3 linked regions of the Stegostoma tigrinum genome follow. The protein of the gene in region 2 interacts with the protein of the main gene of each other region in a pairwise test. Links are inferred from orthologs where the notes say so. Each region holds a gene or a part of one and is shown on either strand. Other genes may lie near its edges.

What was found.
Region 1: the proteins of ift20 (region 2) and kxd1 interact in binary tests that used the Homo sapiens proteins (3 or more experiments, as listed by UniProt). The two-hybrid records come from large-scale screens. The link is inferred for Stegostoma tigrinum from reciprocal best matches to the Homo sapiens genes IFT20 and KXD1.
Region 3: the proteins of ift20 (region 2) and EMILIN-1-A-like interact in binary tests that used the Homo sapiens proteins (3 or more experiments, as listed by UniProt). The two-hybrid records come from large-scale screens. The link is inferred for Stegostoma tigrinum from reciprocal best matches to the Homo sapiens genes IFT20 and EMILIN1.

What each region holds. Positions count from the first base shown.
Region 1 is NC_081383.1:538,106-549,004, reverse strand, and holds the start of kxd1 (kxDL motif-containing protein 1), read right to left. Parts: upstream 4,895-10,899; 5' UTR 4,831-4,894; intron 1-4,830.
Region 2 is NC_081380.1:36,805,055-36,816,533, reverse strand, and holds the start of ift20 (intraflagellar transport protein 20 homolog), read right to left. Parts: upstream 4,757-11,479; 5' UTR 4,614-4,756; coding exon 4,487-4,613; intron 1-4,486. UniProt on the Homo sapiens protein: Part of intraflagellar transport (IFT) particles involved in ciliary process assembly. May play a role in the trafficking of ciliary membrane proteins from the Golgi complex to the cilium.
Region 3 is NC_081362.1:99,070,054-99,081,051, reverse strand, and holds the start of EMILIN-1-A-like, read right to left. Parts: upstream 4,895-10,998; 5' UTR 4,349-4,894; coding exon 4,194-4,348; intron 1-4,193. UniProt on the Homo sapiens protein: Involved in elastic and collagen fibers formation. It is required for EFEMP2 deposition into the extracellular matrix, and collagen network assembly and cross-linking via protein-lysine 6-oxidase/LOX activity.

The DNA.
Region 1 (10,899 bases), on a different chromosome or scaffold from region 2:
GAAAACACCAAGACAGTACAAAAACAAAGTTGCGGGAAAAGCTCAGCAGGTCTGGCAGCATCTGAGACGGAAAAAAACAGTTACCATTTCCGGTCCGGTGACTCATTAAGGATCACCGGACCCGAAGGGTTAACTGGTTTTTCCTTCACAGATGCTGCCAGATCAGCTGAGCTTTTCCAGCAATTTGTTTTTGTTCCTGATTTACAACATTTGCAGTTCTTTCGGTTTTTATTCACCAATACTGTACCCCAGCGTGATACACTGACAGATCTATCACTACCATTTCTGTCCACACTGTTATACAGAGACAGAGTAATCCCCACAGATACTGCACCCCAGCATTGCACAGAGACAGACTCGTCGCCACCAGTACTGTACCCCAGAGTTCCACAGACATGGATATGTCCTCACCAGTACTGTACCTCAGTGTGATATAGAAACAGAGCTGACCCCACTGGGACTGTACCCCAGTGTTATACAGTGACAGACTTGTCCCCACCGGTACTGTACCCCAGTGTTAAACAGGGACAGACCCATCCCCACCGGTACGGTGCCCCAGTGTTATACAGAGACAGGTCGATCCCCCACCAGTACTGTACCCCAGTGTTGTACAGTGACAGACCCGTGCCCCACCAGCACTGTGCCCCAGTTTTATACAGTGACAGACCTGTCCCTCACCGGTACTGTACCCCAGTGTTCCACAGTGACAGACCCGTGCCCCACCAGCACTGTGCCCCAGTGGTATACAGTGACAGACCTGTCCCTCACCGGTACTGTACCCCAGTGTTATACAGTGACAGACCTGTCCCCCACCGGTACTATACACCAGTGTTATACAGTGACAGACCTGTCCCCACCAGCACTGTAGCCCAGTGTTACACAGTGACAGACCTGATCCCCGCTGGTACTGAACCCCAGTATTATACAGAGACAGACCTGTCCTTACCGGCACTGTACCCCAGTGTTATACAGAGACAGACCTGTCCCCACCGGTACTGTACACCAGTGTTATACAGAGACAGACCTGTCCCCCCCAGTACTGTACCCCAGTGTTATACAGGGACAGACCTGTCCCCACCGGCACTGTACCCCAGTGTTATACAGAGACATACCCATGCCCCCCGTGTTATACAGCAACAGACCTGTCCCCACCGGTACTGAACCCCAGTGTTATACAGCGACAAACCTGTCCCCACCAGTACTGTACCCCAGTGTTATACAGTGACAGACCTGTCCCCACCAGTACTGTACCCCAGTGTTATACAGTGACAGACCTGTCCCCACCGGTACTGTACCCCAGTGTTATACAACAACAGACCTGTCCCCCACCTGTACTGTACCCCAGTGTTATACAACAACAGACCTGTCCCCCACCGGTATTGTACCCTGGTGTTATACAGTGACAGACCTGCCCCCCCACCAGTACTGTACCCCAGTGTTATACAGGGACAGACCTGCCCCCCACCAGTACTATACCCCAGTGTTATACAGGGACAGACCTGCCCCCCACCAGTACTGTACCCCAGTGTTATGTAATGACAGACCTGTCCCCCCCAGTACTGTACCCCAGTGTTATACAGGGACAGACCTGTCCCCACCGGTACTGTACTCCACTGTTATACAGCAACAAACCTGTCCCCCACCGGTACTGTACCCCAGTGTTATACAGTGTCAGACCTGTCCCCCACCAGTACTGTACCCCAGTGTTATACAGAGACAGACCTGTCCCCACCGGTACTGTACCCCAGTGTTATACAGTGACAGGCCTGCCCCCACCGGTACTGTACCCCAGTGTTTTACAGTGACAGGCCTGCCCACACCGGTACTGTACCCCAGTGTTATACAGTGACAGGCCTGCCCCAACCGGTACTGTACCCCAGCGTTATACAACAACAGACCTGTCCCCCACCTGTACTGTACCCCAGTGTTATACAGAGACAGATCTGTCCCAACCTGTACTGTACCCCAGTGTTATACAGTGACCGACCTGTCCCCCACCGGTACTGTACACCAGTGTTATACAGAGACAGACCCATCCCCACAAGTACTGTACCCCAGTGTTACACAGTGACAGACCCATCCCCCACCGGTACTGTACCCCACTGTCATACAGTGACAGACCTGTCCCCACCGGTACTGTACCCCAGTGTTATACAGTGACAGACCTGTCCCCACTGGTACTGTATCCCAGTGTTATACAGGGACTGACCTGTCCCCACCGGTACTGTACCCCAGTGTTATACAGTGACAGACCTGTCCCCACTGGTACTGTATCCCAGTGTTATACAGGGACTGACCTGTCCCCACCGGTACTGTACCCCAGTGTTATACAGTGACAGGCCTGTCCCCACCGGTACTGTACCCCAGTGTTATACAGTGACAGACCGGTCCCCACCGGTACTGTACCCCAGTGTTATACAGTGACAGACCTGTCCCCACCGGTACTGTACCCCAGTGTTATACAGTGACAGGCCTCACCCCACCGCTACTGTACCCCAGTGTTATACAGGGACTGTCCTGTCCCCACCGGTACTGTACCCCAGTGTTATACAGTGACAGACCTGTCCCCACCGATACTGTACACCAGTTTATACAGGGACAGATCTGTCCCCACTGGTACTGTACCCCAGTGTTACACAGAGTCCGACCTGTCCCAACTGGTACTGTACCCCACTGTTAAACAGGGACAGACCCATCCCCACCGGTACGGTGCCCCAGTGTTATACAGAGACAGGTCGATCTCCCACCAGTACTGTACCCCAGTGTTGTACAGTGACAGACCGGTGCCCCACCAGCACTGTACCCCAGTGTTCCACAGAGACAGACCCGTGCCCCACCAGCACTGTGCCCCAGTGTTATACAGTGACAGACCTGTCCCTCACCGGTACTGTACCCCAGAGTTATACAGTGACAGACCTGTCCCCCACCAGTACTGGACTCCAGCGTTATACAACAACAGACCTGTCCCCCACCTGTACTGTAACCCAGTGTTATACAGAGACAGACCTGTCCCCCACCGGTAATGTCCCCCAGTGTTATACAGTGACAGACCTGCCCCCCACCAGTACTGCACCCCAGTGTTATACAGTGACAGACCCATCCCCCACCGGTACTGTACCCCAGTGTCATACCGTGACAGACCTGTCCCCACAGGTACTGTACCCCAGTGTTATACAGGGACAGATCTGTCCCCCAGTACTGTACCCCAGTGTTATATAAAGACAGACCTGTCCCCCCCCAGTACTGTACCCCACTGTTATACAGGGACAGACCTGTCCCCACCAGTACTGTACCCCAGTGTTATACAGCAACAAACCTGTCCCCCACCGGTACTGTACCCCAGTGTTATACAGTGTCAGACCTGTCCCCCCACCAGTACTGTACCCCAGTGTTATACAGAGACAGACCTGTCCCAACCTGTACTGTACCCCAGTGTTATACAGTGACCGACCTGTCCCCCACCGGTACTGTACACCAGTGTTATACAGAGACAGACCCATCCCCACAAGTACTGTACCCCAGTGTTACAGTGACAGACCCATCCCCCACTGGTACTGTACCCCACTGTCATACAGTGACAGACCTGTCCCCACAGGTACTGTACCCCAGTGTTATACAGGGACAGATCTGTCCCCCAGTGTTATACAGGGACAGATCTGTCCCCCAGTACTGTACACCAGTGTTATACAGGGACAGACCTGCCCCCCACCAGTACTGTACCCCAGTGTTATACAGTGACAGACCTGCCCCCCACCAGTACTGTACCCCAGTGTTATACAGTAACAAACCTGTCCCCACCAGCACTGTACCCCAGTGTTATACAGTGACAGACCTGATCCCCACCGGTACTGAATCCCAGTGTTATACAGAGACAGACCTGTCCCCACTGGTACTGTACCCCAGTTTATACAGAGACAGACCTGTCCCCACCAGTATTGTACCCCAGTGTTATACAGTGACAGACCTGTCCCCCCCAGTACTGTACCCCAGTGTTACACAGTGACAGACCTGTCCCCACCGGTACTGTATCCCAGTGTTATACAGCGACAGACCTGTCCCCCACCAGTACTGTACCCCAGTGTTATACAGTGTCAGACCTGTCCCCACCGGTACTGTACCCCAGTGTTATACAGTGACAGACCTGTCCCCACCGGTACTGTACCCCAGTGTTATACAGCGACAGACCTGTCCCCCACCAGTACTGTACCCCAGTGTTATACAGTGTCAGACCTGTCCCCACCGGTACTGTATCCCAGTGCTATACAGCGACAGACCTGTCCCCCACCAGTACTGTACCCCAGTGTTATACAGTGTCAGACCCATCCCCACCTGTACTGTACCCCAGTGTTATACAGAGACAGACCTGTCCCCACCGGTACTGTACCCCAGTGTTATACAGAGACAGACCCATCCCCACCAGTACTGTACCCCAGTGTTATACAGTGTCAGACCCATCCCCACCGGTACTGTACCCCAGTGTTATACAGAGACAGACCTGTCCCCACCGGTACTGTACCCCAGTGTTATACAGTGTCAGACCTGTCCCCACCAGTACTGTACCCCAGTGTTATACAGTGTCAGACCCATCCCCACCTGTACTGTACCCCAGTGTTATACAGTGACAGACCTGTCCCCACCTGTACTGTACCCCAGTGCTATACAGTGACAGACCTGTCCCCCCCAGCATTGTTCCCCGGTGTTATAGTGACAGACCATCCCAATGAGTGTTGTAAAATCTTATCTCTGGTGTACTTTAACAGTTGTATAACATATTACAGGCTGTATTACAGAAATGGCGCTTTGAAGTTTAACGGAAATTTAGTTTCAAACCTTGTTTCGACAGTCCTCAGAGGCTCCTTGAGCAAATGGCGGCGCACATGCGTATTTCTCTCCGTGCACCGGAAGTGGGGCGGGGTCAGGGATCACCAAGGCCGTTGCTGGGAAACGAATGCCCCCCCTCCCACCGCGTCAGAACTAGCTGGAAGGTCGGAGACACGGGGTGGTCGAGGAGAGTGAGGCCTGTAACAGCGATGTGCCACAAGGGTCAGGGCTGGGCCCAATGGGCTCATGGGCCAGCCCTGCAGCCTCACAGCGCCAAGAACCCAGGTCCAATTCCAGCCTCGGGTAACTGTCTGTGTGGAGTTTGCACATTCTCCCCGTGTCAGCCTCCAGGGATGTGCAGGCGAGGTGATTTGGCCATCCTAAATCGCCCATAGTGTGGAGGGAAGTGTGAGTTATATGGGGATGGGATGCTCTCGTGGTCAGTGTGGACTTGTTGGGCCGAAGGGCCTGTTTGACACTGTAGGGATGATATGGATAACATATTGTTACAAGTTAGTGGCTGGATAGAGATCTGGGAAATGGAGAATAATGTATGGAAAATGGAAAATTGTCAATTTTGAGAAAAATGTAAGAGTGACAGATTGCAAAGCTGTGAAATTTGGAGGGAAGCAATTCAGATATTTTAGGTTAATGTAGATTGGGAATGCAATAGATGCCTTACTTGGAAGGGTGTATAGGTTCGTCATGTATCTCCTGGAGTCTGGAAGAGTTAAAGCTAATTTGAGTGAAATATATATCAATGGTCTTGATGGGTTGGATGAGGAGATAATTCGTCTTGTAGGAGAATCTAGAACTAAGGGGTACTGATAGATAAACAGGGAGCTGGAAGAACACAGCAGGCTATGCAACATCTGGAGGCAAGGAGTAATTAATTCCCCTTCAGGACTGGATTTGGGGTAAGGGAATTGGCAGATAAAGGGGAAGTGCGGAATGGTGGGGACACTGGTGAAAGGTACGACTCATTGATCGATGGGAGGGATGAATTCGGTTGGTGGCTAGAAGGAAGGGTCACAAGGTGGAATGGAAGGAAGGTGGTGGAGCTGGAACAGGAGCCAGAGGATGGGTGGGAAGGTTATTTGAAATTAGAGAACTTAATGTTGAGTCCTCCAGGCTGTAGGGTGCCTGGGCAGAAGATAAGGCATTAGTCTTCAAATTTGCATTCCAATAGTAAGTAACCCTTATCCTTCTGAATAAACACTGACTCTATAGTTACACAGCAAGTGACCCTTACCCTGAATAAATAGTGACCCTTAGTTATACAGTGAATGATCATTACTGTGTTGAATGTGATGTTTGACAGTCTTAGATTTGAGTTTTGATGATGAAAGAAACAGATGTCAGGATAGTTTGATTACGCACTTTATTTGTTTACTCAGAGAAAGACATCTACAATTTTTCACTCAACTTTTAAAAGGCTTATATAGGATTGGATGATTAACAGTTTATCAGTTTTAGTCAAAATTAGAATCTCGCAATCTGAAGCTAAGTCCTTATATATGTTCTGCCCCATATAAATATTGTAGATTCTGTATGCATGAAATAGTTAGTATAATCAAATACACTACTCAGAGATCGTACATATTGTGTATATACTACACATATTCTGTCTAAAGCACACATTCTGCCTCCATGTATCCCGCATACACATCATGTACACAACTGCTTATACACTAAGTATAGTCTGTGTATGTACTGTACTCAATATGTCTTGGTTATAAATTGCAGAATTTAATGAATCTTCAATATGTTAACAAATTTCAGTTTATTGTACACAAATATCAAAGTCCTCTAGTGATTCTATAGTAATTATTAATTCTAATTATTTGTCCTAGGAATAAATACCATAATAATTTCTGATCTAAACAATTTTAAGAGTTTTTACATAAAGTTTGATGATTGTGTGCAGGCTGACTCAGTGTTCATTGGTCCAGGGTCTGATGGGGATGCCAATTTCTGGTGACTGCTTTATTTAGAGCCCATGTAAATTTATGACTTAAGGAGGGGGCCACATTTTATGAAGGCAGACATAATTGTGATTCCCGTGTATTTGGGAGTTGCACGTGGGGACCCTATGGAATTCCCACTGTGGCAGATTCTGAAAGAATTACGCTGGAAATTGGAGATTCCGCTGGGCAACTCCCTGATGCAGGAACTGTTTGAAAGTATCCATTTAAATTAGAGAGTTCAAAGGGTTCCAATGAAAATAAGTAAATAATTACTCAGGAAAAGTTAGACTATCAAACGTATAGTATTACTCCTAACTATTTATTCGACTCCATACTTATCTCTTCAGACCCGTTACAATCCCAGTCTCTGACCTGATGCTCCACCCCACTTCAGACCTGATTAATCTGTCAGACCAGATTTCTCTCACCCACCCCAAACCACTCTAAACCTGCATCACTTACTTGGTCTCCTTGCCACCTTGCATCCCGTCCTCCAACATCCTACCCTATAACCCCCTGGCACTCTATCCTCACAAATATCACTTGACTGCAGCTGTCAAAATGGCTGTCTGTGATGCTGGATCTTTTAAGAATACAGCCACTGAATGCTGTGAAAATGGAGCATTGTCTGCCTTTCCCTGAAAGTTCACAACTATGAATGGAAGTTCGGCTCCTAATTCCTGAGGGAGCCCTCACCGTCAGAAATGTAGAGTTCTCGTTTTTCATAAAAAATGGGCAAAATGGCAATCTGTGTTTTATAAAATCAGATTTATAGAATTGGGATATTGGTGAGATGATCAAGTAGTTGAGAAAACTGGGTTTTGGGGATCAGCTTTGGTTTGTTTTGGAGTTATTTATTTTGAGAAAAGCCAAATTCTTAGTGTTCAAATTGAGAGTCTTTGGCTTGGAACATGACAAGAGTTCGTAATTCCAAACTGCCAGTCATTTTAACAATATTGTTAAATGTGAGCAGATTAAGAAAACAAATATTTCTCCTTTGCCACTGGAAGCAACAAAATGCAAACGATTCCCAGAAGCACTGAGCTCCAGGTAAACCAATACTGTCCGTAACACCAGTGAGGGACAGGAGTTAGTTTACTCTGACAAGTTGTGCAGAGCTCCAACGTGATATCACAGGAAGACAGGAATATGGAGATAAAATACAGAGAGAGATGCTAAGCATGTTGCCAAGTCATTATTAAACCAATATTATAGTTCCAATCTAAATTCCACAGCTGGGGTCACTGGCCAGTGATCAGGAGCAGGATCTCTGCCTGATTTCCCTTCTCTCTCTCACCCAGAATTCACTGAATACTGATAAGGAGCAGGATGCTGGTTGGCCTTTACCCATTCACACAGTAACCTCCTGTCTACCTGATGTGACTTGATAAACTTAGTGAAACACTGACAAAGGGCAAGGTGAACTTTACAGGTCATGATTTATTTGAGAAGGTGAGACCAGGGTGATGTGGTCACTTGCAGAAATCAGACACTCAATTAAATCTGTTTATTTTACAGTCAGATTAGCAGAACCGTTCCCTCTGATCCCTGTCAATCAATTTGAGTTGCTGAACTCCAATTCCTCATGCTCCATAAAACAAAACTGCACTCTGACAGAGCATACAATACATTGAGCTCTCTTAATGAAAATGTACAGCTCAGTAATCAAACTTTAACACCCATCTAATGCTAAGTAAATCTATGTTCTCCACCGCTTACTAAATCTACTAGTCTGCTGCCACCCATAAACAAGATTACAGAACCTTTGGGGATTAATGACTAAACCATAGCACAAACATCATGACCAGCTGTGTGAATCATTAAAAACACAGTAAGCATAAGCTGACACTGAGTACCAGTAATCAGCGATATTTGACCCTAGATAAAGTAGCACATCATTGTCTTGTTAACAAGATTGTAGCCAGTGCTTTAAAGAAATATTAGCAGCACGGACAAGAAACTGGCTAAAACTCAGAAAGTAGATAAATGCAGTGAGTGGGTGTTTCTTAGACTGGGAGCAAGTTGTTTTTTTATTTATTCACAGGATGTAGGCTGAGTATACTCTGGTGTTCCCCAAGGATGGGTGTTGGGCTCACTGCTTTTTTGATACATATTCATGGCCAGCACCTGGGAATACAGAGTATAATTTCATATTTTGCAGATAAAACAAAACTCAAGGTTCCCCATGGCAGGCTGATGGAGAAAGTGAAGTTGCATGGGGTCCAGGGTGTACTAGCTAGATGCAAAAACAACTGGCTGGGCAACAGGAGACAGAGAGTAGCAGTAGAAGGGAGTTTCTCAAAATGGAGAACTGTGACCAGTGGTGTTCCACAAGGATCGGTGTTGGGACCGCTGTTGTTTGTGATATACATAAATGATCTGGAGGAAGGTATAGATGGTCTGATTAGCAAGTTTGCAGATGACACTAAGATTGGTGGAATAGCAGATAGTGAAGGGGGTTGTGAGAGAATGCAGTAGAATATAGATAGATTGGAGGGTTGGGCGAAGAAGTGGCAGATGGAGTTCAATCCAGGCAAATGCGAAATGATGTATTTTGGAAGATCCAATTCAAGAGCAAACTATACGATAAATGAGGAAAATTGATGCACATCTGGGTGTTCAGTTCCATTGTACCCTGAAGGTGGCAATGCAGGTGGATAGAGTGGTCAAGAAGGCATATGGCATGCTTTCATTCATCGGACAGGGTAATGAGTACAAGAGTTGGTAGGTCATGTTACAGTTGTATAGGACTTTGGTTCAATCAGATTTGGAATACTGTGTACAGTTCTGGTTGCCACATTACCGAAAGGATGTGGATGCTTTGGAGAGGGTGCAGAGGAGGTACACCAGGATGTTGCTTGGTATGGCGGGCTCTAGCTATGAAGAGATGTTGAGTAGATTGGGATTATTTACATTAGAAAGACGGAGGTTGAGGGGGGACCTGATTGAGGTCTACAAAATCATGAGAGATATAGACAAGGTGGATAGCAAGAAGCTTTTTCCCTCAGAGTGGGAGGCTGAATTACTAGGGGTCATGATTTCAAGGTGAGAGGGGAAAAGTTTAAGGGAGATATGCTTGAAAAGTTCTTTATGCAGGGAGCGGTGGGTACCTGGAATGCACTGCCAGCGGAGGTGGTAGAGGCGGGCACGATAGCATCATTTAAGATGTATTTAGACAGATACATGAATGAGCAGGGAACAGAGGGATATAGATCCTTAAAAAATAGGTGACAAGTTTAGATAGAGGATCTGGATCAGCGCAGGCTTGGAGGGCCGAAGGGTCTGTTCCTGTGCTGTAACTTTCTTTGTTCAATTGCAATGAACAATGAAGTGGCTAATAATAGAGTTCAGGAGGATACGCTGTCAGGTAATGCAATATAGTACAGAAAAATGTTAAGACCATAAGACAAAAGGAGTGGAAGTATGGCCATTCGGCCCATCAAGCCCACTCCGCCATTTAAATCATGGCTGATGGACATTTCAACTCCACTTCCCTGCACTCTCCCCATAGCCCTTGATTCCTTGTGAGATCAAGAATTAGTCGATCTCTGCATTGAAGGCATCCAACGTCCCGGCCTCCACTGCACTCCGTGGCAATGAATTCCACAAGCCCGCCACACTCTGGCTGAAGAAATGCCATCTCATTTGAGTTTTAAATTTACCCCCTCTAATTTTAAGGCTGTGCCCACGGGTCCTATTCTCCCTGCCTAACGGAAACAACTTCCTAGCGTCCATCCCTTCTAAGCCATACATTATCTTGTAAGTTGCTATTAGATCTCCCCTCAACCTTCTAAACTCTAATGAGTACAATCCCAGGATCCTTAGCCGTTCATCATACGTTAACCTACCATTCCAGGGATCATCCGTGTGAATCTCCGCTGGACATGCTCCAGGGCTAGTATGTCCTTCCTGAGGTGTGGGGCCCAAAATTGGACACAGTATTCTAAATGGGGTCTAACTAGAGCTTTATAAAGTCTCAGAAGCACGTCGCTGCTTTTATATTCCAACCCTCTTGAGATAAATGACAACATTACACTCGCTTTCTTAATCATGGACTCAACCTCAAGTTAACTGTTGGGGATGTTTCCATCCCCAAGATCTGTGTCGTTTA
Region 2 (11,479 bases):
GATTATTGATATCCTTTTATTACAAGCACCTAAATTTTATTTTTGTACACTGCGTTTTAGTGTGGTTATTGTTAGGAGTCGTCTACAAGCCCCCTATTAACTATTTCCCACCCACCAAACTATTCTTCATATCCACCCAAATTAATTCTACATCCTAACTTGCTGAATGTAGGTCATCTCTAACCATTGCTAATCTGCTATCCTTGTTTAAAATGCTATCTTCTCCATATTTACCTAGCCTCGTATTCTTCTTGAATGTAATATAGCCCACAATATTCAGGACAAAATGATGGTTTATATGTCATATTTATAAATTTCAGTGTGTGCTATCAATTTCTTTTTGATACAAATGCTACATACAAGATAAAGATGGAGGTATCAACCTGATGAAACCACCAACAGGACTACTTGCACACCAGACAGTGAAAGCAGCAAGTGATAGACAGAGCAAAGTGATCCCACAACCAATCGATCAGATCTAAGCTCTGCAGTCGTCCCACATCCAGTCATGAATGGTGCTGGACAATTAAACAACTCATTGGAGGAGGCGGCTCCACAAATTTCCGTATCCTCAATGATGGAAGAGCCGAGCACATCAGTGCAAAAGATAAGGAGCAAAAGAACCATTTGTAGCCATCTTCAGCCAGAAATGCTGAGTGGATGATCCATCTTGGCCTCCTCCAGTGATCCCCAGCATTACAAATATCAGTCTTCAACCAATTCAGTTCACGCCATGTGATATCAAGAAACGGTTACAGACACTGGATACTGCAAAGCCTATGGGCCCTGACGACATTCCAGCAATAGTACTGAAGACCTGTGGCTCCAGAACTTGCCGCTCCCCTAGCCAAGCTGTTCCAATACAGTTACAACACTGATATCTAGCCAACAATGTGGAAAATTGCCCAAGTACGTTCTGCACACAAAACGCAGGACAATTCCAACCTGGCCAGTTACCACCCCATTAGTCTACTCTCATTCACCAGTAAAGTGATGGAAGGTGTCATCAACAGTGCTATCAAGCAGCACCTGCTCAGAAATAACCTGCTCAGTGACACTCAGTTTGAGTTCTGCCGGGGCTACTCAGCTACTGACCTCTTTGCAGCCTTGGTTCAAACATGGACAAAAGAGCTGAATTCCAGAGGTGAGGTGAGAGTGACAGCCCCTGATATCAAGGCTGCATTTGACCAAGTGTGGCATCAAGGAGCTGTAGCGAAACTGGAATCAATGGGTATCAGGGGGCAAACTCTCCAGTGGTTAGAGTCATACCTGACACATAGGAAGATGGTCATGGTTGTTGGAGGTCAATTATCTTAGCTCCAGTACATCTCTGTAGGAGTTACCCAGGGTAATGTCCTCGGTCCAATCATCTTCAGCTGCTTCAATGACTTTCCCTCTATCATAATGTCAGAAATGGGGATGTTCACTAATGATTGCGCAATGTTCAGCACCATTCATGACTTCTCAGATACTGAAGCAGCTCAAATGCAACAAGATCCAGGCATTATCCAGGCTTGGGATGACAAGTGGCAAGTGACATTTGTGCCACACAAATGCCACACTATGACCATCACCAATAAGTGACAATCTTACCACCATCCTTTGATATTCAATGGTGTTACCGTCACTGAATCCCCCACTAGTCAACATCCTGGGGGTTATCAGTGACCGGAAACTCAACTGGACTAACCACATAAACATAGTGGCTACAAGAACAGGCCAGAAGCTAGGAATACTGCAGCAAGTAACTCACTTCCCGATTCCTCAAAACCTGTCCACCATCTACAAGGCACAACTCATGATTGTGATGGAATACTCCCCACTTGCCTGGATGAATGCAACCCCAACAACACTCAAGATGCTTGACACCATCCAGGACAAAGCAGCCTGCTTGACCGCACTACATCCACAAGCATCCACTCCCTCCACCACTGATGCTCAGTAGCAACAGCGTGTACAATCTACAAGATGAACTACATAAATTTATCAAAGATCCTCAGACAGCAACTTCCAAACCCACGACCACTTCCATCTAGAAGAACAAAGTCATCAGACATATGGGAACACCACCACCTCCAAGCCACTCAACATCCTGACTTAGAAAAATATTGCCATTTCTTCACCGTCACTGGGTCAAAATCCTGAAATTACCTCCCTAATAGCATTGTGAATCAACCCATAGCAAGAGGACTGTAGCAGTTCAAGAAGGTAGCTCACCACCACCTTCTCAAAGGAAATTAGGGATGGGCAAGAAATGCTGGCCAGTCAGCGATACCCACATCCCATCAGGGGCGGCACAGTGGTTAGCACTGCTACCTCAGTGCCTGGGAGCTGGGTTCAATTCCACCCTTGGGCAACTGTCTGTGTGGAATTTGCACATTCTTCCCGTGTCTGTGTGGGTTTCCTCTGGGTGCTCCGATTTCCTGCCACAGTCCAAAGATGTGCACGTTAGGTGGTTTGGCCATGCTAGATCACCATAGTGTTCAGGGATGTGTAGCTTAGGTGGATTATAGGGGGATGGGTCTGGGTGGGATGCTCCAAGGTTCGGTTTGGACTTGTTGGGCTGAAGGGCCTGTTTCCACACTGTAGGGATACTACGAAATGAATAGAGAAACAAAATACAATTAGATAGAACCTTTAGTTCTGACTTTTTATAGAACTTTGTAACATCTGTTGAGCCAAACGAATTTCACGAAGATACAAGCAGGCTGTACAGGGTTGATGGGCTATGAGCTTGGAGGCTGGGTGTGTGTGGAATCCCCAGATAAGATGAGATTAATAACCATTGTACAGTTAATAATTCAGCCTGATGTTTCCTGGTGGCACTGTAACCCACGGAAAATAGTTAGTGGTGTCTGGGAGATGGCATTCAGCCTCCACAATATATCAGTCAATAGACCAGACAACAGAAGCACCACCCTTATCAGCAGGAACAATTACAAAGTCAGGGTTGGGTCAAAGAGCGTGCAGTGCAGTCTGTTCAGAGGGATATAGGTTTGACTGGATGGGGGATTGAAGTAAAGGCAGCCAATGTCAGGCAAAAGCTCTCCCAAACAGGTCAAGTGCAAATTGGTAAAAGGCCATAGGAAGGGGTCCAAGTGGAGGCAGCGTATTGGAGGCAGGCCAAGAGATGTCTATTGGTCAGGGAGAGGACTCTTGTCCAAATGAATGGGCATGGAGGCAAAGAGAACAGCAGAAGAATTTAATGTCATGTTGTGCTATTGAAGTAGGGGCACAAAGGGGTAAAACGAAGTCCTTTCCTGAACACAGAACATTCAGAGAACAGAAGGTCAGAATGAATAGTAAATATCTGACAAGAGCTGGGATCAGGAGAAGGCAGCATCTCAGGAGCACAAAAGCTGACGTTTCGGGCCTAGAACCATCAGAGGGTTCTGCAGAACACCTCCGCTCGGTTCGCAATAAACAACTGCACCTCCCAGTCGCAAGCCATTTCCACTCCCCCTCCCATTCTTTAGATGACATGTCCATCCTGGGCCTACTGCAGTGCCACAATGATGCCACCCGAAGGTTGCAGGAACAGCAACTCATATTCCGCTTGGGAACCCTGCAGCCCAATGATATCAATGTGGACTTCACCAGCTTCAAAATCTCCCCCTTTCCCTCTGCATTCCAAAACCAGTCCAGCTCGTCCCCTCCCCCCCACTGCATCCCAAAACCAGCCCAGCTCATCCCCGCCTCCCTAACGCGTTCATCCTCTCACCTATCCGCTCCTCCCACCTCAAGCCGCACCTCCATTTCCCACCTACTAACCTCATCCTGCCTCCTTGACCTGTCCGTCCTCCCCGGGCTATCCCCACCTATCTTCTCCTCTATCCATCTTCGGTCCGCCTCCCCCTCTCCGATGAAGGCTGTAGGCCCGAAACGTCAGCTTTTGTGCTCCTGAGATGTTGCTTGGCCTGCTGTGTTCATCCAGCTTCACACTTTATTATCTTGGATTCTCCAGGATCTGCAGTTCCCATTATCTCTGATCGGGTGAAAGGCCTAATTTAAGTTAAGAGATAACAAGGCGTAGAGCTGGATGAACACAGCAGCCAAATAGCAGAGGAGCAGGAAGACTGACGTGGGCTTAGGTTAATGTAATACAAAAGGGTGCACTGTGAGAGATGTCATCTTTCAAATGAGTGTTTAAACTGATGCTCTGTTGGCCCTCTCAGTTCCAAACAAAAGATCCCATGGCATCATTTCGAAGGGCAAAGCTCTCAGTAATCCTTTCCGACGGTTACCTCTCAACCAACAATTTGCCAATCTGTGGGATCTTGCTATGTACAAAGCATTTTCCATGTTCCCCAGATAACTGCAGCTCCTAAACAAAGAAGTACTAAATTGGCCACCGAAAAATAAGTTTCGAAAAGTTCCGGACTGGTGAGAGGCTTTGTATAATGTACATGTTCTGTCTATCCTAGTTTTCTTTACCATCCTCCCGCAACCCCTCCATACCGTGACAGATATCCTGCTCCGCACCTACTTTCTATAAAGTCCTTGCACTCCTCCTTCAATTCTGTTGTACTTTGCGCCACCTCAGGGTCCAGGACCCTGAGTTTGTTGAGTTCGTCGAAGTGCAGGCCGGCCTCCCCGAGGGACTCCATCGCCATCAGAATCAACAATACCCTCTCGTCCCCTCTGCCGCTGCCACGGCGACAGCGACGGCTCTCTCCGCCCTGCTGCGCATGCGCGGTCACAGGGGGCGGGGCACCCACGGATGTCGCGCGTGCTCAGTATCAAAACTCACTCAGTCTCTCAAGGTAGTGTGGGTTTCTGCAACATTATTTTTGATCTTTCTTACCAGACAGATTCTGGAGAGCTGAAGAACTTTAGTTTGCCGTTTGTCCAGAGTATTGTATACAGAAGGATTTAAAAAGAAATCTCACTGCAACACAAAATAACGGTTGAAGCTAGCGAATCTTCGCTCTTTGTTGTTTTAAATGATCATTTATCGGCGAGCTCCAACCATCGGTGAGATGGCCTGGGCGACTGGACGGCACTTTAACTGAGCCATGAAAGTGCAATCCAGCGGCGGGAAATATATCTGCGCGCGTGCGCACTAAATCGGGAGCCGGCGTGTGGCTAGCGCGCGTGCGCAGTTAGACGAGTACGGACGGGATCGAAGTCACGTGTGAATGCCCTTGCGCCGGAAGAGAAGGAGGAGCGGAGGCGGTTTGAATGGTCGGCACGGCAACTGCTGCAGGTACTGGGCCTACTTCGGGGGTGGGGAGGGTTTTAACGAACGAATAAACAAACTCGCTTTGGACAGTGTTGTCAGAACAAAGTTCAGCAAAGCGGACTGAGCGATTGTCGATAAAGAGATGTCAGTGACCGCCTCAATGGAAGCGAGTTTAGGCTCCTCATGGCAGCTGGAAGAAGTGATCGTAGAGGATGGAACTCCCTCAAACTCGCCCCAAATCTGAGAGCTCTAAGTGAATTGTTTAAGCAGGCTAGGCCATTGGTTTAGGTTGAAGCTGGATATTTCCTAGGTTGCATCGGTTTCATCGAGTTTTCCCCTTTACCTCACCAATACTTTCTAAAAGACCACACTGTATTCGACAACAGAAATTTCTTCTCATGTTGGAAAGACCGAAGGAGCCTTCAGCTTTTGTTGCTTTCAGCCCCTTGGGTATCCATTCCACTCCTCTCCTCAGTAATTGTCTGACATTGAATCTGATCGTTTAAAACCTTTGTTTTGAAGCGAGTTTAGGCTCCTCATGGCAGCTGGAAGAAGTGATCGTAGAGGGTGGAACTCCCTCAAACTCGCCCCAAATTTGAGAGCTCTAAGTGAATTGTTTAAGCAGGCTATGCCATTGGTTTAGGTTGAAGCTGGATATTTCCTAGGTTGCATCGGTTTCATCGAGTTTTCCCCTTTACCTCACCAATACTTTCTAAAAGACCACACTGTATTCGACAACAGAAATTTCTTCTCATGTTGGAAAGACCGAAGGAGCCTTCAGCTTTTGTTGCTTTCAGCCCCTTGGGTATCCATTCCACTCCTCTCCTCAGTAATTGTCTGACATTGAATCTGATCGTTTAAAATCTTTGTATTGAATTTGACTTCAATATGAGTCCCAAACAAAGACTGCCTGTTTCCACCCCTGACTGTGGTTCAGCTCATCTGCTGAAACAAATGCATGTGTTTGCTACCTTTAGACACAGCTATTCCAATGTGTTTCAGCTTCTCGTGATTTACCCTTCAATACATGTATGTGCATCAATCCCCTTCAGTATCAACTCTGCTGACTTATCAACATTGGATCCAGTTAAGTAATACTTACATTTTGAAGTTTTCATCTTTGGTTTCAGATTTTGCCACAGCCTTGTCCCTCCTTATCTGATTTTGTTCTTATTTATTTAGTTTTATTTTATTTATTTTTGTCACATACCGAAACTGAAGAGAAGGTGCAGAGAATGATGAGCTCTAATATATGAGAGGTCCATTCATAAGTCGGATAACAGAAGGGAAGACCCTGTTCTTAAATTAGTTGTTACATGTTTTGAAACTTTTACATCTTCTGTTGATGGAAGAGGTGGGAGGGGTCTTAGATTATGTTGGCAGCTTTTCTGAGGCAGTGGGAATTCTAGAGCGAGTCAATGGAAGGAAAGCTGTTTTATGTGATGGTCTGGGGTCCGTTCACAACTGTGCAATTTCTTGTGGTCTTGGAAAGAGCCATACCAAGCTGTAATATGTAATATAGGATGCTTTCTATGGTGTATCTATAAAAATTGGTAAGAGCCATTGTGGACATGCTGAATTTCATTAACCTTCTGAGGAAGTAGAGGCATTAGAGTGCTTTCTTGACTATAGCATAGATATGAATGGATCAGGACAAGTTGATGATATTTACTTCTAGGATCTTGAAGTTCTCAACCATCTCCATCTCAGCACCATTGATACAGTCAGGGGCGTGTCCTCCACTCTGCTTCCTGAAGTCGATGGCCAGCTGTTTTATTTTGCTGACACAGAGAGAGATTGTTGTCTTTACACCATGCCACTAAACTCTCTATCTCTTTCCTGTGATAATAAGGTGTAGAGCTAGATGAACACAGCAGGCCAAGCAGCATCATCGGAGCAGGAAAGCTGACGTTTCGGGCCTAGACCCTTCAAATTCAGTTTAAGCTTAAATTTGTGAAGTACAAAAGAAACGGTAGTCAGCAGGAGAAGTGAAGCTAGGTTTTTTTTGGGCTTGGAAATGAGTATGTAACGGTTCAGATAAGGCACAGTTGATAAGTGAGAAAAGCATATTTAATGTCCATGCTAACATTGTTTGGCTCAAGATCTGCAGGTTATTCAAATGTAATGAAGCCTAAATTCTCAAAATTGCAAATATTCAGATAATAAAATGACGGTGAGCTGCAAAGAACTAGGTCGGCCCGAAATGTCAGCTTTCCTGCTCCTATGATGCTGCTTGGCCTGCTGTGTTCATCCAGCTGTATACCTTGTTATCTCAGATTCTCCAGCATCTGCAGTTCCTGCTATCTCTATCTCTTTACTGTACTCTGTCTTGTTTTTGTTTGAAATCTGACTGACATTGGTGGTGTCAACATGTAAATGGAGTTAGAGCTGAATTTGGCCACACAGTTGTGTGTGCGTAAGGCGTTTAATAAGAGGCTAAGCCTTGCAGAACAGTGGTGTTGAGTATTATCATCAAGGTCTTGACACCCATCTTCACTGATTGCAGGTCAGGAAGTCAAAGAACCAGTTGCAGTCAAGCGAGCAGAGTCCTAGGTCTCGGAGTTTAGAGATGAGTTTGGTTAAAATTATGGCGTTCAAGGTGGAGTTGAGGCCAATAAATAGTAAGTGTCCTTGTTATCTACATGTTTCAAGGATAAGTGTAGGAACACAAAAACGGCACCTGCAATGAACCTGATGCCACGTGCAATCTCCTCCAGCTTCTCCGACTCCCTGGATGCCTGTAATCTTCAAACTCTGGTCTCTCGGGTTTAGTTCCTCTATTGTTGGTGACTATATCTTACCCAGTCCAAGCCTCATTCCCTCCCTAAAGATTTCTGTTGTGTTATTTGTCTTTCTTCTTTTACTACACTTAAACCTACTGCTTTGACCAAGCTTTTGATCATCTGCCCTCAAATTCTTGTGGCTTGGTATCAGATTTTGTTTCTTGGCTCTGCTGTGAAATAAGTGCTTTGGAACATTTTACTATATTAAAATGGTATGTTATTATAAAGCAAGCATTTAGATTTACTGATTGGCCTTAAAGAAAGAAATCATTTTTAGTTTGAGTACCAAATTGCCTGCTATGGTAGGAAATTATCAAATAGTGAGATGGCTAGAGTAAAATACTTGGCTTTTATTTTGTTTTTGCTTTGTTTTTCTCAAATACAACGCAAATTTCCAAACTGAATTTCCAGTCTACTGTGGTTAGCAATGAACTCGATGTTATCTGTTGAGACACTTAATACTGCATTGATTTGATTTTGTTAATAATATTTCTCCCTCAATTAACTTTGTAACAACATTGACTGACATTCTGCTGAAACTGATCCATGTTGGAATGTATTTCTGCATTCTCAATACTACAATTTCTCCACTGTATTGACAGATTTTTTTCAGCTTAGATTTCATTTGACTTATCACACCTGTGATTTGTTCCATTGTTTGTTATCCTTGTGATACTATTGTCTCTTCAATAAAATATTGGATTTTATTGTTAACCCAACAGGTAGCACATTTTAAAGTACAATTGAAAGTGATGGTATTTCATTGTAGACTAAATGCTTAAATTCTCAAGTTTTGGACTGAAGTTTGAGAATCCTCTCTCATGAACCTACATTATGGAGATGGGTTTGGAAGTCTGCAGAGTATTTATTCTGTTCAAGAATGCAATTCATTTAGTGGGTGGTTTGGTATTTTAACACATTTGATTATGCCAAGAATGTAAAGTACTTTTTCTCATTAGAATTTTAAAACTTGCATACTGTCTTCTAGATAGTTAACATAATTGAATTTTAAGCAGCAGATGAGTGTGTAACTTTCAATTTACTCTTGAATGCTTCACTCCTAGTGCCTACTTGAACTCATTACTTTGGAAGTTTTTAACTTTGAACTTGGCCTGAGTTGTTACTCAGATGCATAATCATAATACAAAAATTAGCACAGCCCTTGGATGGCAATGATAGAGGTGACCAAAAGCTTAGTCAAAAATGTGGCTGAGGAAGGTGATGGGATGAATGGTTTTGCGAACGTGGAGATGAACTGACTGCTAGCAGATTTTCCAGTGCTACGTTCTATGGAGGGGTTGTACATTAATAGTATTTTAATTGAATTGTCAAGATATACAGTGAAACACATTGTTTATTTGTGTACTTGGAGCACTGCTGTCATATGTTTATTTAGTTTAATTTGGTTTGATCAAAATGGTATAGTGACTGCTGAGATACTGGATTTATAGGTCAAAAGCAGACATAACAGAATGCTACGTTTTGCAAATAACATATTATTTCAAAGTATCAGTGTCTAGTTTCATACTTCAGTTGATTTGGGATCTGAGTAAAACTGTAGAGCTGGGGGAGGCAAGAGGCAGGAAATGGGAATGCCGTAAATTCAATATTTGCAATTCCTGTAACTGTCACCAATAGGAGGTACCAAGAGTGGCAGGTATGAAGTGGGCATAATTTTGGACTATCGGGGAGGCAAAGGCAGTTTTCATGCTGCTATTGACATAAGTTCCAGCCAGAACTGATAAAGGCTCAGGTGCTAGAGCTAATAAAAGCGTAAAGGTTTTATCTTTCAGAATTCAAAATCTTGCCACTTGATGCCGTGGAGCTGTCAGGGACATCAGCAAGCACTGTTTGGATCAGGAAAAGGCAATGCAGTGGCTCGAGAATGTTAGGTGCTCTTACAGCACTGCTTCAAGTATAGGTTGCCCAACTCCTACACATGAATTATGACGTATACACAGGTTCCTCCTACAACTTACCCTGTTGTACCTAAGTGGTGTAACTAGCTGCATCTGTGCATGCATGGTGACCATATTGTGTTATGGATAATCACTCCAAAATTCATTGCCAATCATGCAATTTTATGATGTACTCTTTTAAGAAATCTGTGATCATTAATTATCAGAAACGTAAGTCCTCCAGAGCAGAAGAAAATAATTTCTCATCAGTTGTAAATAGCTGACCCCAAATACATCTGCCCCAGGGGACAAATCGACTTAACATCTACACTATCTACTTGAGAAGCTGATATATTTCATTAAATCACCCATCATTTTTTGGAAATTCCAGATGAAAGTTGGATGAACTTAATGCCTGAGGTTCTTTTGCCCACTGTGAACAAAAGAACAAAGAAAATTACACCACAGGAACAGGCCCTTCAGCCCTCCAAGCCTGTGCCGATCCAGATTCTCTATCTAAACCTGTCACCTATTTTCCAAGGATCTGTATCCCTCTGCTCCCTGCCCATTCATGTATCTGAGATAGTAGTTTGATAGAGATACATTCATGTATCTGCCTAGATACCTCTTAAATGATGCTATTGCGCCCACCTCTACCACCTTCACTGGCAATGTGTTCCAGGCACCCACCACCCTCTGCGTAAAGAACTTTCCACACATATGTCCCTTAAACTTTTTCCCTCACACCTTGAAATCATGACCCCTAGTAATTGAGTCCCCCACTCTAGGGAAAAAGCTTCTTGCTATCCACCCTGTCTATACCTCTCATGATTTTGTAGATCTTAATCAGGTCCCCCCTCAACCTCCATCTTTCTAATGTAAGTAATCTTAATTTACTCAACCTCTCTTTATAGCTAGCACCCTCCATACCAGGCAACATCCTGGTGAACCTCCTCTGCACCCTCTCCAAAGCTTCCACATCCTTTTGGTAATGTGACGACCAGAACTGTTCACAGTATTCCAAATGTGGTCGAACCAAAGTCCTATAGAACTGCAATATGACCTGTCACCTCTTATACTCAATAGCCCGTCCGATGAATGAAAGCATGCCGTATGCCGCATTGACCACTCTATCGACCTGCGTTGCCACCTTCAGGGTACAATGGACCTGTACACCCAGATATCTCTATGCATCAGTTTTCCCCAGGGCTTTTCCATTTACCATATCGTTCACTCTTGAATTGGATCTACCAAAATGCATCACCTCGTATTTGCCTGGATTGAACTCCATCTGCCATTTCTCTGAACAACTCTGCAATCTATCTATATTCTACTGCATTCTCCAACAGTCCCCCTAACTATCTGTTACTCCTCCAATTTTAGTGTCACCTGCAAATTTGCTAATCAGGCTATCTATACTTTCCTCCAGATCATTTATGTATATCACAAACAACAGTGGCCCCAACACAGATCCCTGTAAAACACCACTGGTCACAGTTCTCCATTTGGAGAAACTCCCTTCCGCTACAACTCCTTGTCTCCTGTTGCCCAGCCAATTCTCTGTCCATCAAGCTAGTACACCTTGGACCCCATATAACTTCAGTCTCTCCATCAGC
Region 3 (10,998 bases), on a different chromosome or scaffold from region 2:
CCTGAATTGGAAGGGGTCAATATACTAGTGGGTTGATTTGTGAGAGCTACCCAGGAGCATTTAAATTAGTAAAAGGCCAGTTTGAGGCACAGAGGTAGTGAGAAAAGAGATATGTTGGTACAGTTGAGAAAAGGAGCAAGTCAAATAATTGAGGGAGTCAAGAGCAAGGCAGAGAATGAGGTAAGACTGATAAATTAAACTGCATTTATTTTAGTGAACGAGGCCTGACGGTAAGGCAGATGAACTCAGGGCATGGTTGGGAACATGAGGCTGGGCTATCATAGCAATTACAGAGACATGAATAGGACCGGCAGCTTAAAGTTCCAAGATGTAGATGCTATCGGAAGGATAGAAAGAGGGGATAGAGTAGCATTTTTGGTTAGGGATAACATTACAGTAATACTTAGGGAGGATGTTCCTGGGACTATGACCAGTATTTGGATGCGACTGAGAAAAAAGAAAGAGAGGATTATCTTATTGGGATTTCACTATAGATTCCTCATTACCTCCCCCCCCCCACCCCCCCACACACAATAGTCAGCGGGAAATCGAGGAACAAACTTATAAGGACATCTCAATTATCTGTAAGAATAATAGGACTGTAACGGTAGGGGCTTTTAACTTTCCAAACACAGACTTAGACTGCAGTGGTGTTAAGGGTTTGGATGGAGTGGAATTTGTTAAATCTGTACAAGAAAATTTTCTGATTCAGTATGTGGAAGAACTTACTGGAGAAGGAGCACGACTTGACCTACCCTTGGGAAATAAGGCAGGGCAAGTGACTGAGGGGTCAGTAGGGAGTATTTTCGGGCCAGTAATCATAAATCTATTAGTTTTAAGTTAATTATGGAAAACGATAGACCAATCTAAAAGTGAAAGTTCTAAATTGGAGTAAGGCCAATTTTGACGGTATTAGGCAAAAACTTGCAAAAGTTGATTGACAGAGGCTATTCACAGATAAAATGCAACCAAAATGCAACATCTCACATTTATCGAAATCAAATTCCATCTGCCAACCCTTGGCCCATCGAATCAAGGTCCCATTGCACTCTGAGGTAACCTTCTTCGCTGTCCACTACACCTCCAATTTTGGTGTCATCTGAAAGCTTACATGCCACTTCTCCTGTGTTCACACCCTAATCATTTATATAAATGATAAAAAGCAGTGGAGCCAGGACAATCCCCATGGAACACCACTGGTCACAAGTCTCCAGTCTGAAAAACAACCCTCTATCTCCTACCATCAAGTCAATTTTGAATCCAAATACATAGAAACATGGAAGATAGGAAAAGGAGAAGGTCTTTTGGCCCTTTGAGCCTGCTCCTCCATTCATCACGGTCATGGCTGATTGTCCAATTCAATACTGTAACCCTGCTTTCTCCCCATAACCTTTGATCCCGTTCACCCCTAAGTGCTCTATCTAGACACCTCTGGAATACATTCAATATTTTGGCATCAACTGCCTCCTGTGGTGATGAATTCCACAGACTCACCACTCTTTGGGTGAAAAAATGTCTCCTCATCTCCATCCTAAATGGTCTCCTCCAAATCCTCAGACTGTGACCCATGGTTCTGGACACAGCCACCATCGGGAACATCCCCCCCCCCTGCATCTACCCTGTCCAGTCCCGTTAGTCTCCATGAGACCCCGCCCTCCTCCTCATTTGTCTGAACTCTCTCAAAAACAATCCCAACGTAGTCAATATCTCCTCATATGTCAGTCCCACCATCCCCGGAATCAACCCGGTAAACCTTTGCTGCACTCCCTCGAGAGCAAAAGGGAGACCAAAGCTGCACATAATATTCTTGGTGTGGTCTCACCAAGGCCCTGTACAACTGCAACAACACATCCCTGCTCCTGTACTCAAAACCTCTCGCAATGAAGCCCAACATACCATTTGCCTTCTTTACCACCTGCTGCGCCTGCATGTGACTGGTGCACAAGGACACCCAGGTCCTGCTGCGCACTCCCCTCTCCCAATTTACAATCTAGCTCTCCCTGAATTCCATGTGATCTCTCCTTGCTAACCAATTTGCCATAAGGAATCTTGTCAAACACCTTGCTGAAAACGTAAGGACAATGTCCACCACTCTGCCTTCACCAATCCTCTTCGTCACTTCTTCAAAAAACTCAATCAAGTTAGTGAGACATAACTTCCCACACACAAAGCCATGTCAGCTATCTCTAACCAGTCCTTGCCTTTTCGAATACATATAACGCCTATCCCTCAGGATCTCCTCCAACAACTTGCACACCACTGAGGACAGGCTTATCAGTCTACAGTTTCCTGGATTTTCCTTACCAGCTTACTTAAATATATAGTACCCTGCTAGCCAACCTTCAGTCTTCCGGTACCTCACCTGTGGCTATAAATGATACAAGAATCTCAGTAAGGGGACCAGCAATCACTTTGCTCGCTTCCCACAAAGTTCAATGGGAGTAAACGATAGGTGGGGATAGAGCCCAAAGAGAGAAGAACAGTTGAACAGACAAAGGAGTAGATAACAGTCTGTCTGGGAGAATGAATATCTGCTAATGGGGAATATTAGTGGCTAACAATGGGTCATGTATAATCGCAGATCAAAGCCTTGGGTGTTGGGGTGGGGAAAGTATGGGGAAGGTGTTCAGTTCCTAAAGTTGTTGAACTCAATACTGAGTCCTGAGGCTGTAGCGTTCCCAAGTGGAAAACGGAGTGCTGTTCTTCTGGCTTGCACTGATCTTTGTTGAAGTACTTCAGCAAGCACTAGACAAAGAAGTTGGACAGGGAACGCAGTGGTGTGTGGAAATGGCAGGCAACTAGAAGCTCAGGATCTCAGGACAAAGAGGGCACGGTTAAGGTAGGTCAAGGGAGAGTGGGGCAGGGCAAGGCAAAGACGCTTTGTGCATTGAAGTAGACATGAGTAAGTGACTATTCAGAGAACTCTGAGATCCACGAGCTGATGCCTGTCTCTGTGACAATGCAGCATCTTTTCAATGAGAGGTTCCAGGGCAGTATTTACAGAACTATACTACATGTGGATCAAGATTTGCCATGATAGTGGCCAGTGTCTGTGGGCTTGGGGTGTGTGTGAAGCTGGTGGATGGCCAGAGGAGCACTCGTTGGGATGGGGGTTGCCCAGTAGCCACTCAGAATTTCATGTCAGGAATCCTTGATGTCTGGCTGCTATCTGCCATGTGGTAGAAAAGGGAGTTGCATATTAATGAGGTGAAATTTGGTGTTAATGAGACAGATACTGAACAGTAATTCCTGGTAATAGGCATTTCACCACTTGCTAGACAAAATCTTATCGCAATGTCTAGAACCAGTTGGGAGTTGCTCTGACGCTGAAAAAAGACTCATACGACTTCTCCCTACAACCCACATCATTCTGGAAATTCAATATTCCAGCTATCAATATTCCAGCTATTCAATATTCCAGCTTGAACCCCTCTTCCCTCCATCTCCTCAATTCACTCTTTCACCCTTTCCCCTGTCTCTACTCCTTCCTCTCTGTCCTTCTCTCCCTCTCCTCATCACCACACCCCTTTCCCACATCCCTCCTCCCCTGTTCTCTTCCCTCACTCCCTCCCTCTCTCCATTTCTGTTTGACTTTCTTGCTTTCTCCCTCTCCCTCTAGCCATTCCCCAATCCTCCTTCTCCCTCTCTCCTCCTCCTCCCCCACTTTCTGTCCCCTTTCCCCATTTCACCTCTCACTCTCTCTTCCCCCTTACCCACCTCTCTTCCTTTGCCCCCACCCACTCTCCCTTTCTCTTTTCCTCCCACACTTCTCACTCAGTGTCTCTCACTCCCCTCCCTCTCTTCTCCTCCTCGCAATCTCCCTCTCCCTCTCTCTCTCCATCTCTATCCACCTTTGTTCCCCACTCCCTTCAATCTGTTCTCCTGACTCTCTCTCAGCCTCCTCTCCCTCTTCCTCCATCTCACTTCTCTATCTTTCACTCCCCTCTCTCCCCCTTTCATCTCCCCTACTTCTTTCTCCATTTCTCCCTTTCCAATTCCTTTCTCTCCCTACCTCACACTTTCCTCTCCCCTTCTTCCCTCCCTCTCTTCCTTCCATTCTCTCCCTCTTCCCTGTTCCCAACTCACCTCTTCCCTTCCCCTCCCATTCCTCTCTCTCCCTCTCCTCTACCCCCACACACTCACCCTTTCCCCCTCACCCCCACCCCTGCCCTCTCTCTCCTCCTCTCCCTTACCTGTGCCTGCTGGTTGCCCTCACTCCGGGCTCCGCCTGGCTGCTGTGTTCCGCGGAGACTGCCGAGTACAGGGGGTATCTTTGGGGATAACTGACCGCCGCAGCCCGCACCAGGATCGACAGGAGGTAGAGAAACTGACAGAGAGCCCTGGCCATGCTCGCAGGCGCTCACCAAACTCTAGTCTCGACAGGGATTCTGGATCAACCGGGATCAACCAGCGCCTGGATCCCTCCCGGGATTCCAGCCACTTCCTGAGAAACTTCTCCAAACTTGGGAAACGTTCCTTTCGATCCTGTGTCGATTATTTCATTCAATGCTCCCTGAAACTTCTCTCCCTCTCTTTTCCCACACTCTGCTTCGTTCTTTGCCTGGGTTTTTTTCTCTGTCACCGTCTCTTTTTCTCTCTCTCCTGCTGCCTTTCCGAAGATTTTCCTCCCTCCCTCCCTCTCTATTTTTCACTCCCTGCTTTCTCTCTCTCGGGGACTCACATCTGGAGCTAATTAATCTCAGCCTCCGGAATGTAAAATATTGCTTCGCTGCCAAAAACCCTTTTTATTCTCGGAAAACCTGAACTCCTCCCATAAGGCTGTCCCAATCCACGGTAAGTACCCCCTTCTGCCTTAATCCTCTTCCCCCCTCTTTCTGATCTCCTGCCCTCTACCCACAACACTCACCCCGCTCCGATCTCTCTGCTGTCTCTCTCTCTCTTTTTCCTCCTGCAAATGCTCCCCCCAATCCTTCTCTCTTCACCCCCCCCCCCCCCGACCCCTTCCCTCCCCCTCTGCCCCTGTCACATTTCACTCCTCCCCCTTGCTAACACTATCCAGTGCCCCTAACATCAACAGACAAAGCTGTGCTTCAGGATATGCCGATGTTAGTGTATTTAATGTCTGAAGTGAGGAGATTCTGGGAAGTAATTCCAGAGTTTAGGGTTTGAACAGCGCAGATGAAGCATGCTGTCCCCCGGTAAAGATCAGAACCCTACCAGAGATGGGGTAAATTAAAACAAACAGCAGAAGAGGGAAGGGGCACAGAAGCCTCCCAGATTGGTAGGACATGGGGAAGTTGCAGAGCAGGTAAGGCCGCTGAGGGATTTGAAAGCAGAATGAGAATTTTAAAATGGAGGCACCAATGGACCTTGCTGTCTCAGCAGGTTCTGTGACCCTTGTCTGATTTCTATTTAAAGGATGACAAACTCCTTCTGCTGTTCTTATGTTTGTTTTGAAATCTCCACATGCTACATTTACTGGAAGCTGATTAAATCTTAGGGGTGTGATTGAAAAAGCCAAGGTTCGATTTCCAGCATCACACTTCAGCCTTGGCCAGTACTTTCATGATGAAGGGGGCCCCAGGGAAAGTTTATGGAGCTTTAATCTGTGACCAAGAGGAAGAACAGAGTCTGTATTGTAAGCACAGATAGCTAAGCCAGACAGACAGACATCCTGAGAAGCACATCAGGATTGACCGAAATGGAACTCCCATTGAGGAACAAAGCCTTCAGCTCAATGCTGGCACAGTTACACCTTCATTGTCTCTGTTACACTACTGTTCCACAATTCCTTTCGCAAGTCAATTTCTCCTGCCATTTATTTTCTTTTAGTTGTTAATTTATTGAGCATTTATTGTTGATCCCTAACTGCCAGTTGAATTGATTGGTTTGCTTGGGCCATTTCAGAGAACACAGTGTGGAAACAGACTCTCCCTCTACTTTCTGGAGAGACCACTCTCTTCGGGACTCCCTTGTCTGCTCCACACTCCCCTCCAACCCCACCACACCCGGCACTTTCCCCTGCAACCGCAGGAAGTGCTACACTTGCCCCCACACCTCCTCCCTCACCCCCATCCCAGGCCCAAAGAAGACTTTCCACATCAAGCAGATGTTCACCTGCACATCTGCCAATGTGGTGTACTGCATCCGCTGCTAGCAAAGTGTGGAGCGGATGAACACAGCAGGCCAAGCAGCATCTTAGCAGCACAAAAGCTGGCATTTTGGGCTAAGGATCTAGGCCTGAAACGACAGCTATTGTGCTCCTAAGATGCTGCTTGGCCTGCTGTGTTCATCCAGCTCCACACTTTGTTATCTCAGATTCTCCAGCATCTACAGTTCCCATTATCTCTCCACTGCATCCGCTGTACCCGTTGTGGCCTCCTCTACATCGGGGAAACCAAGCGGAGGCTTGGGGATCGCTTTGCAGAACACTTACGCTCAGTTCACAATAAACAACTGCACCTCCCAATCGTGAACCATTTCAAATTCCCCTCCCATTCCTTAGATGAGATGTCCATCCTGGGTCTCTTGCAGTGCCACAACGATGCCACCCGAAGGTTGCAGGAACAGCACCTCATATTCCGCTCGGAAACCTTGTAGCCCAATGGTATCAATGTGGACTTCACAAGCTTCAAAACCTCCCCTCCCTCCACTGCATCCCAAAACCAGCCCAGCTTGTCCCTGCCTCCCTAACCCGTTCTTCCTCACACCTATCCCCTCCTCCCACCTCAAGCCACACCTCCATTTCCTACCTACTAACCTCATCCCATCTCCTTGGCCTGTCCGTCCTCCCCGGACTGACCTATCCCCTCCCTACCTCCCCACCTATACTCACCTCTACAGGCTCCATCCCCGTCCCTTTAACTTGTCTGTCTCCTCTCCACCTATCTTCTCCTCTATCCATCTTCAATCTGCTTCCCCCTCTCTCCCTATTCATTTCAGAACCCTCTCCCCCTCCCCCTTTTCCGATGAAGGGTCCAGGCCCGAAACATCAGCTTTTGTGCTCCTAAGATGCTGCTTGGCCTGTTGTGTTCATCCAGCTCCACACTTTGTTATTTCAGTCCAACTCGTCCACATCGACCAAGTTTCCTAAACTGAACTAGTCCAACTTGTCTGCATTTGGTTCGTATCCCTCTACAGCTTTCGTAAAAATGTACCTGTCCAAATGTCTTTTCTAGATTGTATTGCGCCCACCTCTACCATTTCCTCTAACATTAAGGGTCTTCCACTCTGTTGTGGGTCTGGAGTCACATGTAGGCCAGACAGGGTGGCAGGATAGCAAATTTCCTTTCTTAAAGGACATTAGTGAACCAGATGGGTTTCTAAGAACAAAAAACAGCGGTGACATGATTTGTATGAGGCTACTTTTTATTGAATTCCCCAAAGCATTAGCCTGGGGTTCTGCATTACAAGCACAGTGACATTGCCACAATGCAGCTGCATCCCTACAGCTTCTTTTCCCCCCGCATTTAGAGGCCATCTCCCAATTCTTGCTTGATGCCCCCTATCCACTTCCACCCAGCACCTCAGCTGTTCATGGACATGTTAATGATTTAGATGAGGGAACTAGATGTAATATCTCAAAATTTGCAGATGCTACAAAGCTGGATGGTAGGATGAACTGTGAGGAGGATGCATAGATGTTGCAATGTGATTGGGACAAGCTGAATGAGTAGGCAAATGCAAGGCAGATATAGTTTAATGTAGATGAATGTGAGGTTATCCAATTTGATAGGACCGGAAGGCAGATTATTATGTGAATGACAGTAAGTGTGAGACAGGGAGAATGATCAGTGAGATCTGGAATAGAAATTATGGGAACTGCAGATGCTGGAGAACCCGAGATAACAAGGTGTAGAGCTGGATGAACACAGCAGGCCAAGCAGCATCAGCAGAGCAGGAAGGCTGATGTTTCGAGCCCAGGCCCTTCATCAAAAACAGATCTGGATGTCCTTGAGCACCAGTTGCTGAAAGTAAGTGCACAGGTGCAAAAGGCAGTGAAGAGGCCTTCATTGCACAAGGACTTGAATACAGAAACAAGTTTATCCTTGGAAACCCCAATACACTAAAGATATTCACCCTGTTTCTGATCCACACATAAACCAGATCTTCCAATGGCTATATTTGTTAGTCTTATGTGGATTCCATTCTCTACTCCCACTATCCATGTCATTTCACTCCACACAGGAATATAAAACTATAAAAAGAGGGAGCAGGTGTAGGCCATTTGGCCCACCCACTCTGCTGTATAATTCAATAAAGAGCATGGCTGATTTGGTTGTGGCATTCAGGAAATAATAAAAGGTACTTTTGCCCTTCCAATAATTATTGACCAAAAACATGTTTAACTCAGTTTTGAATATATTCAACAGTGTAGTCTCTGCTGCTGTCCGGGCAAGAGAATTCCAGATGTTAACAATTATCCAGAAGAAGTTCTTCATCATCTCTGTCTTAAATGGGAGTCTTTTCATCTCTAAACTGTACTGCCTCGTTCTAGATACCCCCACGAGATGAAAGATTTCCGTAGTCACCATCTCAATCCCATCAAGGCCCTTCAGAATCTAATATATTTCAATAAAATCACCCTTCATTCTTCCGAACTCTAATGAGCATTGTCCCAAAACAGCCAAATGAAGAGTATCCGAACTGCTCCCAATGCAAGAACATCCCTTCTGAAATAAGGAGACTCTAACTGTATAATTATACACCAGGGTCAGTCTCAGCAATACCCTGTATGGTTGTAGTAAGACTTCCTTTCTTTAACACTCCATTCCTCCCCACAAAAAACAGCTACATTCCATTTGTTTTGCTGTATCAGCAAGCTAATTGCTTTTTTGCAATTCATGTATAAGGACACCCTGATCCATCTTTAATGCAGTATTCTGCAGACTCTTATAAAAGTCATATTCTGCTTTTCTGTTGTATCTGCCAATCTTCACATTTTCCTACAATGTATTTGAAGTGGAAAACTTTTGTCCACTCTTACATCTATTTGCATCCCTGTGCAGACTCTGCATTGTGCATTTAATGATGTGGACATCACTAACATTTGTTACCCATTCTAGCTGTGAGAAAGTGGAGGTGAGCTGTGACAAAACAACTTGTCTCCTTATCATTAATACAGATTCTAAATACAGTAGTTAACAAGTCAGCACTGATCCCTGGGGCACTCCACTAATTAGTCTGCCAACTGAAAACTCCACTTATCTCAAAATAATAAAACGTGAGGCTGGATGAACACAGCAGGCCAAGCAGCATCTCAGGAGCACAAAAAGCTGACGTTTCGGGCCTGGAACCTTCATCAGAGAGGGGGATGGGGAGAGGGAACTGGAATAAATAGGGAGAGAGGGGGAGGCGGACTGAAGATGGAGAGTAAAGAAGATAGGTGGAGAGAGTATAGGTGGGGAGGTAGGGAGGGGATAGGTCAGTCCAGGGAAGACGGACAGGTCAAGGAGGTGGGATGAGGTTAGTAGGTAGATGGGGGTGCGGCTTGGGGTGGGAGGAAGGGATGGGTGAGAGGAAGAACCGGTTAGGGAGGCAGAGACAGGTTGGACTGGTTTTGGGATGCAGTGGGTGGGGGGGAAGAGCTGGGCTGGTTGTGTGGTGCAGTGGGGGGAGGGGACGAACTGGGCTGGTTTAGGGATGTAGTAGGGGAAGGGGAGATTTTGAAACTGGTGAAGTCCACATTGATACCATTAGGCTGCAGGGTTCCCAGGCGGAATATGAGTTGCTGTTCCTGCAACCTTCGGGTGGCATCATTGTGGCAGTGCAGGAGGCCCATGATGGACATGTCATCCAGAGAATGGGAGGGGGAGTGGAAATGGTTTGCGACTGGGAGGTGCAGTTGTTTGTTGCGAACTGAGCGGAGGTGTTCTGCAAAGCGGTCTCCAAGCCTCCGCTTGGTTTCCCCAATGTAGAGGAAGCCACACCGGGTACAGTGGATGCAGTATACCACATTGGCAGATGTGCAGGTGAACCTCTGCTTAATGTGGAATGTCATCTTGGGGCCTGGGATAGGGGTGAGGGAGGAGGTGTGGGGGCAAGTGTAGCATTTCCTGCGGTTGCAGGGGAAGGTGCCGGGTGTGGTGGGGTTGGAGGGCAGTGTGGAGCGAACAAGGGAGTCACGGAGAGAGTGGTCTCTCCGGAAAGCAGACAGGGGTGGGGATGGAAAAATGTCTTGGGTGGTGGGGTCGGATTGTAAATGGCGGAAGTGTTGGAGGATGATGCGTTGTATCCGGAGGTTGGTAGGGTGGTGTGTGAGAACGAGGGGGATCCTCTTTGGGCGGTTGTGGCGGGGGCGGGGTGTGAGGGATGTGTTGCGGGAAATACGGGAGACGCGGTCAAGGGCGTTCTCGATCACTGTGGGGGGAAAGTTGCGGTCCTTGAAGAACTTGGACATCTGGGATGTGCGGGAGTGGAATGTCTTATTGTGGGAGCAGATGCGGCGGAGGCGGAGAAATTGGGAATAGGGAATGGAATTTTTGCAGGAGGGTGGGTGGGAGGAGGTGTATTCTAGGTAGCTGTGGGAGTCGGTGGGCTTGAAATGGACATCACTTACAAGCTGGTTGCCTGAGATGGAGACTGAGAGGTCCAGGAAGGTGAGGGATGTGCTGGAGATGGCCCAGGTGAACTGAAGGTTGGGGTGGGAGGTGTTGGTGAAGTGGATGAACTGTTCGAGCTCCTCTGGGGAGCAAGAGGTGGCGCCGATACAGTCATCAATGTACCGGAGGAAGAGGTGGGGTTTGGGGCCTGTGTAGGTGCGATAGGGTTAGGGTTAGGCCATCTTCCGCACCTGCACAGGCCCCAAACCCCACCTCTTCCTCCGGTACATTGATGACTGTATCGGCGCCGCCTCTTGCTCCCCAGAGGAGCTCGAACAGTTCATCCACTTCACCAACACCTTCCACCCCAACCTTCAGTTCACCTGGGCCATCTCCAGCACATCCCTCACCTTCCTGGACCTCTCAGTCTCCATCTCAGGCAACCAGCTTGTAACTGATGTCCATTTCAAGCCCACCGACTCCCACAGCTACCTAG